Linked DNA regions of Cricetulus griseus. The protein of the gene in region 3 binds, or shares a complex with, the protein of the main gene of each other region. Links are inferred from orthologs where the notes say so. Each region holds a gene or a part of one and is shown on either strand. Other genes may lie near its edges.

Region 1 (3,744 bases), on a different chromosome or scaffold from region 3:
CCCTGCTACTATTAGAGCCCTGACGGGAACCTTGCAAACAGATGTCTTGGGGCGCGGAGCTCAGATCTGCCCGCGTTGCTAGGCTGACCGCCTGCATCTCCAGGACGGCGAGGCAGGGGCGTGCGCTTGCTTGAGTGATGGAGAAAGAGATGTCACCCGCTCGGCACGGGAAACGGAGGAGGGACCGGGGCCCCAGGCAGGCCTCACCCGCAGATCCCGGCTGCGTGACAGCTCCTGAACCTCGGGGTGCCAGCCGTTCCAGACCATGAAGAGCGCCAAGCCCAGGGCGAGCGCCAAGAGCAGCAGGGGCAGGAGCTGCACTCGCGGCAGCAGGCGGCGCTTGGAAAGCGAGGGCGGCTGCATCGCGCCGCGATCCCCGAGCCGCTGCCGGGGCCGCCCGCGGCTCCCGGGACTCATGGCAGCAGCGGGGCCCCGAAGCCGGTCGTCCCAGACTGAGGTTTGAGTCCAGGCCAGGCTCCGCCCCTCCCCCCTATCGCTTACGCAAGCCAATAGGGAAGCAGAGCGGCGGCGGCATCGTCGCGCAGACGGCCGCGATTGGCTCCTTCTTCTCCAGAAGGCGGTGCGCAGACCCGAGGGCCCGCCCCCCACGCAAGAGGCGCAGCCAATGAGTGGCGGCTGACCGTGCGGAAGCCGCGCCCGCCGCCCTCAGGTGTCCATCAAGGAGAAACGGGCGGCGCCCATCCCTGAAGCAAGGAGGCGATTGGCTCGCTCGAGGCCACGCCCCCCCAGGAGGAGGCGGGCGCCGCGCGCTTGGAAACGGAGCTGTGTGTCGTGTCCCCGCCTCCTCCCCGCCCCCGTTCTTCTTCCACCCAGACGGGGAGTTAATTCGAGCCAGGCCCGGCGGCTCCCCCTTTTTGTTTAGTCGCGAGCGGGGGGGTCCCCCTATTGTGATCCTCACTGACATGGAATCCTCCCTCCAGGCATTTCCTACGGCAGAGAGCCGCCGCCGGGTCGCTATGGCAACGTGACACGCCCACGCCGCTGGGGCGGGTTGCGCAGGCGCCGACGGAAGTGATCCCAGAGGAGGGAGGCGGAAGTCCCGCCTTCCGCTCGCTCTACTCCGGAGGCTACACGGCAACGCGGCGGAGGCGGGAGTGAGCTGCGATCGAAACCTCCACCATGTGAGGCCGGGCTGGGCTCCCGCGGGGACGCGAAGGTGGAGGGAGGGACGCGGGCGGCTTAGCAGGTGGACTGTCGGCTTGGGGTGCTCGTAGCGGGGGCAGAGGTTCCTCCTGAGGTGTTAGGGGACGGGCGTGGGGCCTGGAAGGACGGGTCTGGAGTTCCGGAGCCGGACAGCTTCTTCTTTCTTTTCTTTCTTTCTTTCTTTCTTTTTCTTTTTTTTTAAAGTTTATTTATTTATTCATCATGTAGACAGTGCGAGCCAGAAGAGGGCACCAGGTCCCATTATAGATGGTTGTGAGCCACCCTGTGGGTGCTGGGAATTGAACTCAGGACCCCTGGAAAAGCAGTCAGTGCTCTAACCTCTGAGCCATCTCTCCAGCCCCCCTCATTTTTATTTTTTAAAGATTTATTTATTTACTTACCATGTATACAGTGCGTGCCAGAAGAAGGCACCAGATCTGGCACCAGATCTCATTACGGATGGTTGTGAGCCACCATGTGGTTGCTGGCATTTGAACTCAGGACCTCTGGAAGAGCAGTCAGTGCTCTTAACCCCTAAGCCACCTCTCCAGCCCCCCTCATTTTTATTTTTAAAAGATTTACTTATTTATTTACTTACCATGTATACAGTGTGTGCCAGAAGAAAGCACCAGATCCCATTACAGATGGTTGTAAATCACCATGTGGTTATATTTATTTATTAACCATGTATACACTGCGTGCCAGAAGAGAGCACCAGGTCTCATTATAGATGGTTGTGAGCCACCATGTGGTTGCTGGGAATTGAACTCAGGACCTCTGGAAGAGCAGCCAGTGCTCTTAACCCCTGAGCCATCTCTCCAGCCCCGACAGCATAACGGGCGTGGGACCCTGCTCTGTACTGAGTCTTGTGAAAAGAGCTGTAAGAGGAAAGCTGAGCCTGGTGGCACATGCCCAAGAGAGGCTGAGTGAGGCAGGAGGATGGTGAATTCGCGCCCAGCCTTGGGCTGCACATGGAGACCGTTTCCAAAAGTAATAGTAATTTTAAATGGGAGCCGTAAATGGATAAAGGTCTCGGCAGGGGAAGGGAGTTCTATTAAAAAATAGTGAAAGGCTCTCCAAAAAAAACAAACAAGCAAAAATCATAATGAGGGACTTAACCAGGATAAGGTAGAAAACAGACAGGGGGGCTTTTTCAATCTGCCTGGAGACTCTCAGAGTAGCAAGCTACTGCCATGGTTTGATGTGTTTATTCACCAAGCAGGTGTTACACAGACTGGTTGTTAAGTTAGACACACGGTGTATAAAAGGTCCGTGCCACCGAGAGAAAGTTTTTCTCACTGGGGCTGGTAAAAGGAATGGGGTAGGAAGACCAGAGAACGTGTTAGATGATGGAGAGTGCGGATGAAGAAATTTGAGTAGCTACCACAAAAAAAAAAAAAAAAAAAAAAAGACTGAAAATGCAACACTGGGCTGGAGTTATAGCTCAGTGGGCAGAGTACATGGCTACCTTGGGTTCTGGGTATAGTGGCAGCATGCCTGTAATCCCAGAGGTCTGGAGGCAGAGATGGATAGTCTGAGTCTCAGGTCAGCCAGGGTTACACAGTAAGACATTGTTGTGGGGATGGCGGGCACCAGGAGAAAGGTAACGGAAGATTAGGCCATGGATAGAAATAGCCAGGTTCTGGATATGTCGTAGAGGCAGATGACAAGATGTGAGGGTAGATTTCCTTTAAGAGAGTGCCGGGCTTGATGTTGAACTCCTGTAATCCCAGAACTTGGGAGGTGGAGTCAGGAGAATTGAGAATTGAAGGTCGTCCTTAGTTATATAGCAAGTTCAAGGCTAACCTGGGCTATAGGAGATCCTGTCACCAAAACAGAAATCAATTAAACAGTAGAGTTCTAGCTTAGAGAACCCGCTGAATAGAGTTGCCATCAGTGAAGACGTGGGGAATGCGTGGGTGGGAGAGGTTTTGGTGGTTAGACAGCTGGAACGGGCTAAATAGACAATGTCTCTCCCACCTCTGAAAAGGACATTTGGGGACCAGGTTGAGGAGACACTGGACAGTGCCTTTGATCACTCACACTTCCAAGCTCACCCATCTCACCCGTGGTTTTTCTATTCAGGAGTCTCCTCAATAAACCCAAGAGTGAGATGACCCCAGAAGAGCTGCAGAAGCGGGAAGAGGAGGAATTCAACACTGGTCCCCTCTCGGTGCTCACACAGTCGGTCAAGAACAACACACAAGTGCTCATTAACTGTCGAAACAACAAAAAGCTCCTGGGACGGGTGAAGGCCTTTGATAGGTGAGCACTGAGTCTGAGGGGCCTGAAGGAAAGGTTATTCCAGAAGCATAATGATAGTAAGTTGGTGACAAACTCCTGTAATCTCAGCACTCAGAGGGATCACCATGATCATGTTAGAGGCCAGCCTCCAAAATAAAAAATCAGAAAGTGTGGGGTGCTCTTTTTGTTGTTTTTTTGTTTTATTTTGTTTTCCAAGACAGGGTTTCTCTGGCTTTGGAGGCTGTCCTGGAACTAGGTCTTGTAGACCAGGCTGGTCTCGAACTCACAGAGATCCACCTGCCTCTGCCTCCTGAGGGCTAAGATTAAAGGTGTGAG
Region 2 (3,744 bases), on a different chromosome or scaffold from region 3:
GGGCTGCACTTCTGAGAATACCATAATCTAGTCAGACAAATTCCTGTTATAGTTGGGCTGTTTGAAGCCCACCTCGGTAAGTTTCATTAATTAGAGCAGCATACTAAATATATTAATAGTCACTATCCAAATTCTTTCATTCTACTCCCAAAACTAAATGCCCTAAAACAGACAAATACATCTTTTTTGTTTTGTTTATCGAGACAGGGCTTCTCTGTGAAACAGTTCTGGCTCTCCTGGAACTCAGAAATCCACCTGCCCCTGCCTCCTAGTCTTGGGATTAAACGTGTGCACCACCATGCTCAGCCTTCAGCTTCCTTTCTTATTCCAGAAACAACTGCCTAGAAGTGGCTTAGCCCTTAATAAGCTGGGCACTTACCCATCAATCACTAATCAAGTAAATGCCCCACAGAATTGCCTATAGGATAGGCATTTTCACAACTGAGGTTCCCCTTTCTAAGGTGACTCTCACTTGCACCAAGTTGACAAAAAAACTAAGCAGCACAATTACAGTAGTTTAAATGAAAAGTATCCTCCACAGTTGCAGGCATTTGCACACTTGGCCCCCATGTGTTGGTGGGTTGTTTTGGGGGGGGTGGGATGAGGGGATGCAGCCTTGCTGAAGGAAGAATGTCACTGGAGGCAGGCTTTCAGATTAATACCCTCCAACACTTCCAGGTAGCTCTCATTACTTCAAGCTTTCTATTGAAGATGTAAGCACTCAGCGTCCTGCTATTACCATTTCTCCCCTCCACGATGGACTCATTCCTTTGTAATTGCAAGCCTAAAAAAACCCCTTCTAATGGTGTGTTATCACAGCCACAGGAAATAACTAATGCAAACCCTAAAAGGCAATAGTCAGGCCACCTGACCCACAGGTGTGATTCTAAATAATGTACTTTCCCTCTCCAACCTTTACTTTTCTCATGTGGAATACAGTTAACAGGCACCAGTTATTGCACGCAAAGCACTGAGCTGGCCACTGTGAACACACAGCCATCTGAACTCTCTATGACAACTCCAAGGTATGTGTATTAGACCTGGAGCAGTCAGAGATATTACCTTTCACCCACAGTTCCTTCACAGGTGCAAAGCAAGGTACCTGGCAGTTCATGTTGTCCTCTGCTTCAATGAGCTTCCCTCGATACACCTCGCCAGTGTTGGTCTCACAAGTTACGATGTGGCCCTCAGCCTCGTGCAAGACTTTAATCGGCACACCGATAGACATCTTGGCAGGAGTGTTCCTGTGGAAGAGAGAGACAACAGCTGTCTTTCAGAGCTTAAGAAGGACTGGCATACCATACCCTTTGCAAATATGTCAGAGCTGCATTTTCTTTCTTTCTTTCTTTCTTTTTTTTTTTTTATTCTGAGACAGCGTTTCTCTATGGCTTTGGAGGCTGTCCTGGAACTAGCTCTTGTAGACCAGGATGGCCTCAAACTCACAGAGATCCGCCTGCCTCTGCCTCACGAGTGCTGGGATTAAAGGTGTGAGCCACCACCACCGCCCGGCCTAAGCTGCATTTTCTGTGGAAGGAGTCTGACTCTTGGTTTGAAGGAACCACCATGGCAAGGACACACTGCCTTCGAGCTGGGAAGGATGGCAAGCAAGCTGGACAGAAGAGGCTGGTGGGAATGAAGAGTGCCTCTTATCTATTCCCAAACACATGACCCTTTATAGTCACCCAAGAACTATGATATGGACCTCAAAAGCAATCACTGCTTACCTGTAGCTATTCAACTGAAATATAAATTAAAAAGCCCCTCCCCTCCCAGTCACACTAGTAATATTCCAAGTGCTCAGCAGACATAGACCCTGATAAGATAGCAAGGCGTTCACAAAGTGACAGGAAATGCTCACAGGAGCACCATCAGGGTCGACGCTCGATTTAAGCCTCAGTAAAAGACGGAGGCTAAGCGCAACTGTGATGAGCGTTCCCACCTATGTCCATGAGAAGGCTATAAGGATGCTGGGCGCTGTCTCTCTTGGTGAGGAACCACGGCTTTCAACTTAAGGAGTGTGAGTTTTATGCTGAAAACGGTGGAGGGGGGGGGACACAAAAGGGTCATTGCCAAAGGCTCAGTAGAAAACAAAAAGGAATAATAGCAGCATCTGCAGGATAGCTCGAACATGGCCCTTCTGCAGCACAGCGACTCGCTAAGACTCGTGCAGCAGTCGTGGAAGGCAGGGGAGGGCCAGCGCCGGAATCCGAGGGGAGCAGGGATGCAGAGGACGCTGAAAAGGAGGGCACACAGGGAAAGGGGGTATTTCGTGAGAAACGACTGCGGGCGAGCTCCGAAAATCGGCGAGCCGGAAAGGCACAGAACGCGCAGACAGGCGTAAACGAGGAGCTGCTCCAAGCGCGGGTGAGACGGTGTTTGGATCGGCCCAGGCTTCCCGCCCGCCATTAGTGCCCCGCTGAGCTCCTCCGCAGGCTCCCTTCCTGCCCCTAACCCTCCGGGGACGCCTAGGCCTCCTCTTACCGGTTCTCCGCCTCTCCTCACCGGCTCCCTTTCGGCCCTGGCACAAACGTTACACGGCGAAGGCGTGAAGCGAGGGAATGGCGGGCCCGGGGTACCCAGAATACCACGCGTTCCCAGGATACCGCGCGCAGGGCCCCTCCTCTTCCTTTCCCCAGCGGCGAGAGCGCTCTGACGTATGCTTCCTCCTTAACTCCGCCGGCTCGGAAAACGACGGCTCTGGCATTATCGTTCCGGCCCTGGAGAGGACCCGGGGGGCCGCCGGAAGCATCCGTCCTCGAGCCCCAAAAGGAACATGGAGACCCCCCCCCCACTTACAAAGTACTCCAGGGACGGATTGGGCGGGAGCTAGGCTGGAGCCCCAAAATTGCTGTGGTGCCACAGGAAGTGAGGCTTGGACTAGGAATCTAAGCTTTGGATCTGGTCGCCATCAGGTAAGCGGCGCACCGAGCGTGGGAAACTGGCATTTTTCATCGTGTGGCTAAGACCGAAAGGGAGGCAGAGGAGGATTCCCGGGGCGTTTCGATGAGGCAGGCACTGCGAGGGGCCGGCGCTAACACCCGGGGCTGCAAAGGAGCAAGCCGAGCGGAGGGGGTTTGGGAGGAGCCAACGTCGCTATGGAAGGGCCTGGGGGCGGGGCCCGGGAGGGGCGGGGCTTCCGCAGAAGGCGGGCCCTGCGGGTCGCTCTTTATGGGAGAGAAGTGGGTGGGCGAGGAGGCGTGGCCTAGGGGAGGGGCGGGTCTCCAGGCCGGGGACCTGGCAGGGACGAGGCGGGGCTTGAGGCGGCCTAGCCCCCGCCCACCCGGCTCTGAACCGCGGAGGCGGCGGCGGCGGCGGGCGGCGGTGGCGGCGGCGGCGGGAGGAGGAGGAGGAGGAGGAGGAGAGGCGGCGGCGGAACTCTCCCCACACTGGCCGCGCTCGCTGCCCAGCACAAGTCGCAGCTGCGATCAGCTCCAGGCCGGGGCCATGGGCGCCCTGCGCCACCCGGGTCATGAGGACGGAGGCAGAGGCAGCGGGGCAGCCGCTCGAGCCCGGTCAGTGCCTCTCAGAGGGCCTTGCCCTCACCGGGGAAACCGAGGGGGACTCCGCCCTGGAGCTGGGCAGGGTCTGGCCGCGCGACCTTGGGCCGCAGGCGGCCTCAGCCCAGACTGGAGCTTCCAGTGGACCTTAGCTAGGTGGATGGATATTCCTTCTCGTCTCCCGTCCTCCGCTTCTGGTTGTTTCTCGGGGAGTTCTGAGAGCAGTCAAGTGCAAAAGTCCGAGGGG
Region 3 (3,744 bases):
TATTAGGTGGCTCCTGGATGCTAGATGCTTCATGATAGAAAAAGATCAAGTTCTTGCTCCTGTTTTGGGAATGGAGGTAGGAATAAAGGGTACGAAAGACTTAAAAATGAAACAGGACAGCTGGGCGCGGGTGGCACATGCCTTTGATCCCAGCTCTTGGAAGGCAGAGGCAGGCGGATCTCAAGTGAGTTCAAGGTCAGTCTGGTCTACAGAGCGAGTTCCAGGACAGACAGGACTGTTGCACAGAGAAACCCTGCCTCGAAAAAAAAACAAAAAAAACAAAAAGGGGCAATAGATTGGCTCACATTTGTAATACACTTACTTAAACAACGAAAACCTTGGGACTGGAGAGATGGCGTTAAGAGCACTTGTTGCTTTTGCAGAGGACCTGCAACCGTCTGTAACTCTAGTTCCAGGAGACACTCTTCTGGCCTCCACAGACATCAGGCATGCAAGTGGTGCACATTTCGTTTTGAAAACAAAAGGTGGAAAGTTGGGTGTGGTATGAAAGCTCCTAGAAAGGAGAGGAAACATTTGGCAGAGAAGGCATTTTCTTAAGCCTTTCTCGAATGTGGAAAAGGGATTTTGGTATCGCCCTTCCCCCAAGTCAGCAGCTGGAACTCAGCCCGGCGGGTCCGTTCCTCTACGGGCTCCGATCCCCTTTCAGCCCATTCAAGCACGCCTGGGCCGGGAGCGAGCAGGCAAACAATCGGACACTGTTTTATCAGAGGCATCGGCTCCAACCTCCCACTTGGCGGGCGCCGGAAAGCAGTCTCTATGAGCTCCTGGGTGGAATAAGCATCCAGGTACCTCATCACCGAGAGTGTCGGGTCAGAAGACTTAGTATGCGTTTGGGCAGGTGAGGAGAAGAAGAAAGGAACCAATGGGTGGAGGGCCGGGTCTTCTCAGGGCCCTAGCGGCGGATCTACCACAGGGTACGGGATGTTAAAACAAGCGTCCAGCCTCTAGGCGGTGCAACCGTAGACTACAACTCCCAGAAGGCCGTGCAGCCTTTGTTAGCGGCGAATCCTATCTCCCAGCGAAAGGCAGTGAGTGGGTGTCTGAATCAAGTGCTTTCCAATCACCGCGGGACGTGGCGGAGTGCTCTGCCGGAAGTTCCGGGAAGTAGGCCCGGTGGCTGATCCGAGCTTCCGTGTTGGTCGCGCGCCTTCTTGTGGCTAAGATGGCGGCGGAGCATCCAGAGCCTCCCAAAGGAGAATTGCAGTTGCCGCCGCCGCCACCTCCAGGCCACTATGGCGCCTGGGCTGCTCAGGAGCTTCAGGCCAAACTGGCGGAAATAGGAGCTCCGATCCAGGGTGAGGCTCCCGGGGCGGTCAAAGGGGGCTGCGTGGGCTTGCGGGGCAGTGGGACCTGGTTACCCAGGAGACTCACGGGCGGGGGGCGGAGACAGGCCTCTGGGGCCCGACCTGGCCAAGCCGGGCTGTTCCGGCTGGTGCTGACCCCGGATTCTGTGCTTGGTTCCGCAGGGAGTCGCGAGGAGCTGGTTGAGCGGCTGCAGACCTACACCCGCCAGGTGAGTTGTGGCAGGAGTTGAAGATTACTTTTCCTAGAGGCCTTTAAGATAGGCCACGGATCGGTCTTCGTTTCTTTTACATTTTTTTAAAAAGCTTTTAGGCGGGGTTTTACTGTGTACACCTGGTTGTCCTAGAACTCTCTCTCAGTAAACCAGGGTGGCCTGGAACTCAAGAGATCAGGCTGCTTCTGCCTGCCGAGTGCTCTGGGATTAAAGGTGTGCGCCTCCACGCCCGGCTGGGTCTTCGTTTCTTACGTACTTCATCGCGGCAAGTCGGGTCTTGACCGTTTTGTCAGTTTTTGCCTTTGCTTTATTGTAAAGGTTACAGCCCCAATCTCTGGCAAACGGGCATCGGGTGCACTTTGTTAAATAAATGGTGGAGGAGGCCGTGCAATGGAATAGTTCCCTCTTAGTCTGACACACAGTTCTCTTTTCTTTTGTAGACGGGCATTGTGCTGAATCGACCTGTTTTAAGGGGAGAAGATGGGGACAAAGCTGCTCCTCCTCCTATGTCAGCACAGGTAAGAGACTGTTTATCGGTCATTCTGTTCAGGATAACCTTTCTCCCATGCATTGCACTGGAGATAAGAATATAGTGAATTAAGGGTGGGGTCTGATGAGACAGAATTGGGGCCTTTTCACTTCTGGCTTTGTGCCGGTATTCATCAGTCCGCAATGTCTGCTCTTCTAAATTTGACCTGTCATTCAAGAGTCAACTTGAATACCTAGAATTCATACTTGGTTCTCTCCCAGTTGGATGTAGTCATGTGTTTTGTTATCAGGCATAGCTCCCAAAGTTATTCATTGACACTTTAAGGGGTAATGCTGTGATTTTTTTATTATATACCTCCTGCATTTAGTAATTCATTGACAGTCTGTGCCCTGGCACATTGGTTTCTATTTCTTTAAAAAAACATATTTAAAGTTTAGTGGTGGTGAACACCTTTAATCCCAGCACTTGGGAGGCAGAGGCAGGTGAATCTCTGAGTTTGAGGCCACCTTGGTCTACTGAGTGAGTTCCAGGACAGCCAGAACACAGAGAAATTGTATCTCAAAAATAGTATCTGTGTGTGTGTGTATATGTGTGTGTGTATATATGTGTGTATGTGAATATATACACATATTTATGCATATGAGTGTTTTGCCTGCGTGCATGTCTGTACACCATGTGCATGCAGCATTACAGGAGGCCATAAAGGGGCTTGGATCACCCTGGGGCTGGAGTTACAGAGGATTGTGAGCTGTTATCTGGATGCTGGGAATTGAACCCTGTGATTCAAGAGCAGTTCTTAACTGCTGGTCCAGTCTCTCCAGTACTGGTTCCTATTTGTTTAAGTTCCTTTGGAATCCAGTATTTGAGTGTCTTCCTCTAAACTAGTGGCTTTGGCCTGGGTGGGTGGGGTGTGTGTGTGTGTGTGTGTGTGTGTGTGTGTGTGTGTGTGTGTGTGTGTGTGTGTGTGTGTGTGTGTGTGTGTTTGTGTTTTGTTAAGTGCCTGTATAGACTTTAGAGGTGTTCTTGTATTTTCTTAAATTGAATGCAATTTCAGAGGACCCAATAGCTTTGTTTGATCAGTGTTCTAAAGTTAGCCTTTTCTTCTCTTGATTCTGCTATGGTGCATTTTCTTGAGTTCTGCATCACTAGACTTTGAATGCCTGGCTCTTTTGCTAGTTCCCTTTAGAACTTTAGCTAGAAAATGCTTCTAAAGTGAATAAATGCTTTCTAGTTCATAGCTATATATTTTTTTCCACAGCTGTCTGGGATTCCTATGCCGCCACCACCTATGGGACTCCCCCCTCTACAACCTCCTCCTCCACCTCCACCACCTCCACCAGGCCTTGGCCTTGGCTTTCCTATGGCTCACCCACCAAATTTGGGTCCCCCACCTCCTCTCCGAGTCGGTGAGCCTGTGGCATTATCAGAAGAGGAACGGCTGAAGCTGGCACAACAGCAGGCAGCTTTGCTGATGCAGCAAGAGGAACGTGCCAAACAGGTAGGACAGGTGGAAACCTTACCTAGGTCACCTTAGGTCCCTGATGGGGAAATGGAACCCCAGAAAGCTAGACCCGGAGGCTGTGCCTTTTAGGAAGGTCTTGGTTGAAGACCAAGACCTAGGTAACAGCTGGCAGAGAATCCTAGAAGCAAGAATTTTGGCAGATTGGCCTGGTTGTATTGTTGCTGGCATGAGTTTTTTTTTTTTTAAGCAAGGAAA

The links.
Region 1: Sf3b2 (region 3) and Snrpd2 share a complex: the UniProt entries of both Homo sapiens proteins name them as parts of the minor spliceosome. The link is inferred for Cricetulus griseus from reciprocal best matches to the Homo sapiens genes SF3B2 and SNRPD2.
Region 2: Sf3b2 (region 3) and Snrpd3 share a complex: the UniProt entries of both Homo sapiens proteins name them as parts of the minor spliceosome. The link is inferred for Cricetulus griseus from reciprocal best matches to the Homo sapiens genes SF3B2 and SNRPD3.

Annotation. Positions count from the first base shown.
Region 1 is NC_048602.1:28,213,654-28,217,397, reverse strand, and holds the start of Snrpd2 (small nuclear ribonucleoprotein Sm D2), read left to right. Parts: upstream 1-986; 5' UTR 987-1,140; coding exon 1,141-1,142; intron 1,143-3,249; coding exon 3,250-3,429; intron 3,430-3,744. Other genes in the region: Qpctl (glutaminyl-peptide cyclotransferase-like protein), read right to left, coding at 208-417. UniProt on the Homo sapiens protein: Plays a role in pre-mRNA splicing as a core component of the spliceosomal U1, U2, U4 and U5 small nuclear ribonucleoproteins (snRNPs), the building blocks of the spliceosome.
Region 2 is NW_023276806.1:263,063,544-263,067,287, forward strand, and holds the start of Snrpd3 (small nuclear ribonucleoprotein Sm D3), read right to left. Parts: upstream 2,636-3,744; 5' UTR 2,482-2,635; intron 1,245-2,481; 5' UTR 1,229-1,244; coding exon 1,103-1,228; intron 1-1,102. Other genes in the region: protein GUCD1, read left to right, coding at 3,470-3,512. UniProt on the Homo sapiens protein: Plays a role in pre-mRNA splicing as a core component of the spliceosomal U1, U2, U4 and U5 small nuclear ribonucleoproteins (snRNPs), the building blocks of the spliceosome.
Region 3 is NC_048596.1:54,019,938-54,023,681, forward strand, and holds the start of Sf3b2 (splicing factor 3B subunit 2), read left to right. Parts: upstream 1-1,149; 5' UTR 1,150-1,183; coding exon 1,184-1,316; intron 1,317-1,487; coding exon 1,488-1,534; intron 1,535-1,977; coding exon 1,978-2,055; intron 2,056-3,285; coding exon 3,286-3,525; intron 3,526-3,744. UniProt on the Homo sapiens protein: Component of the 17S U2 SnRNP complex of the spliceosome, a large ribonucleoprotein complex that removes introns from transcribed pre-mRNAs.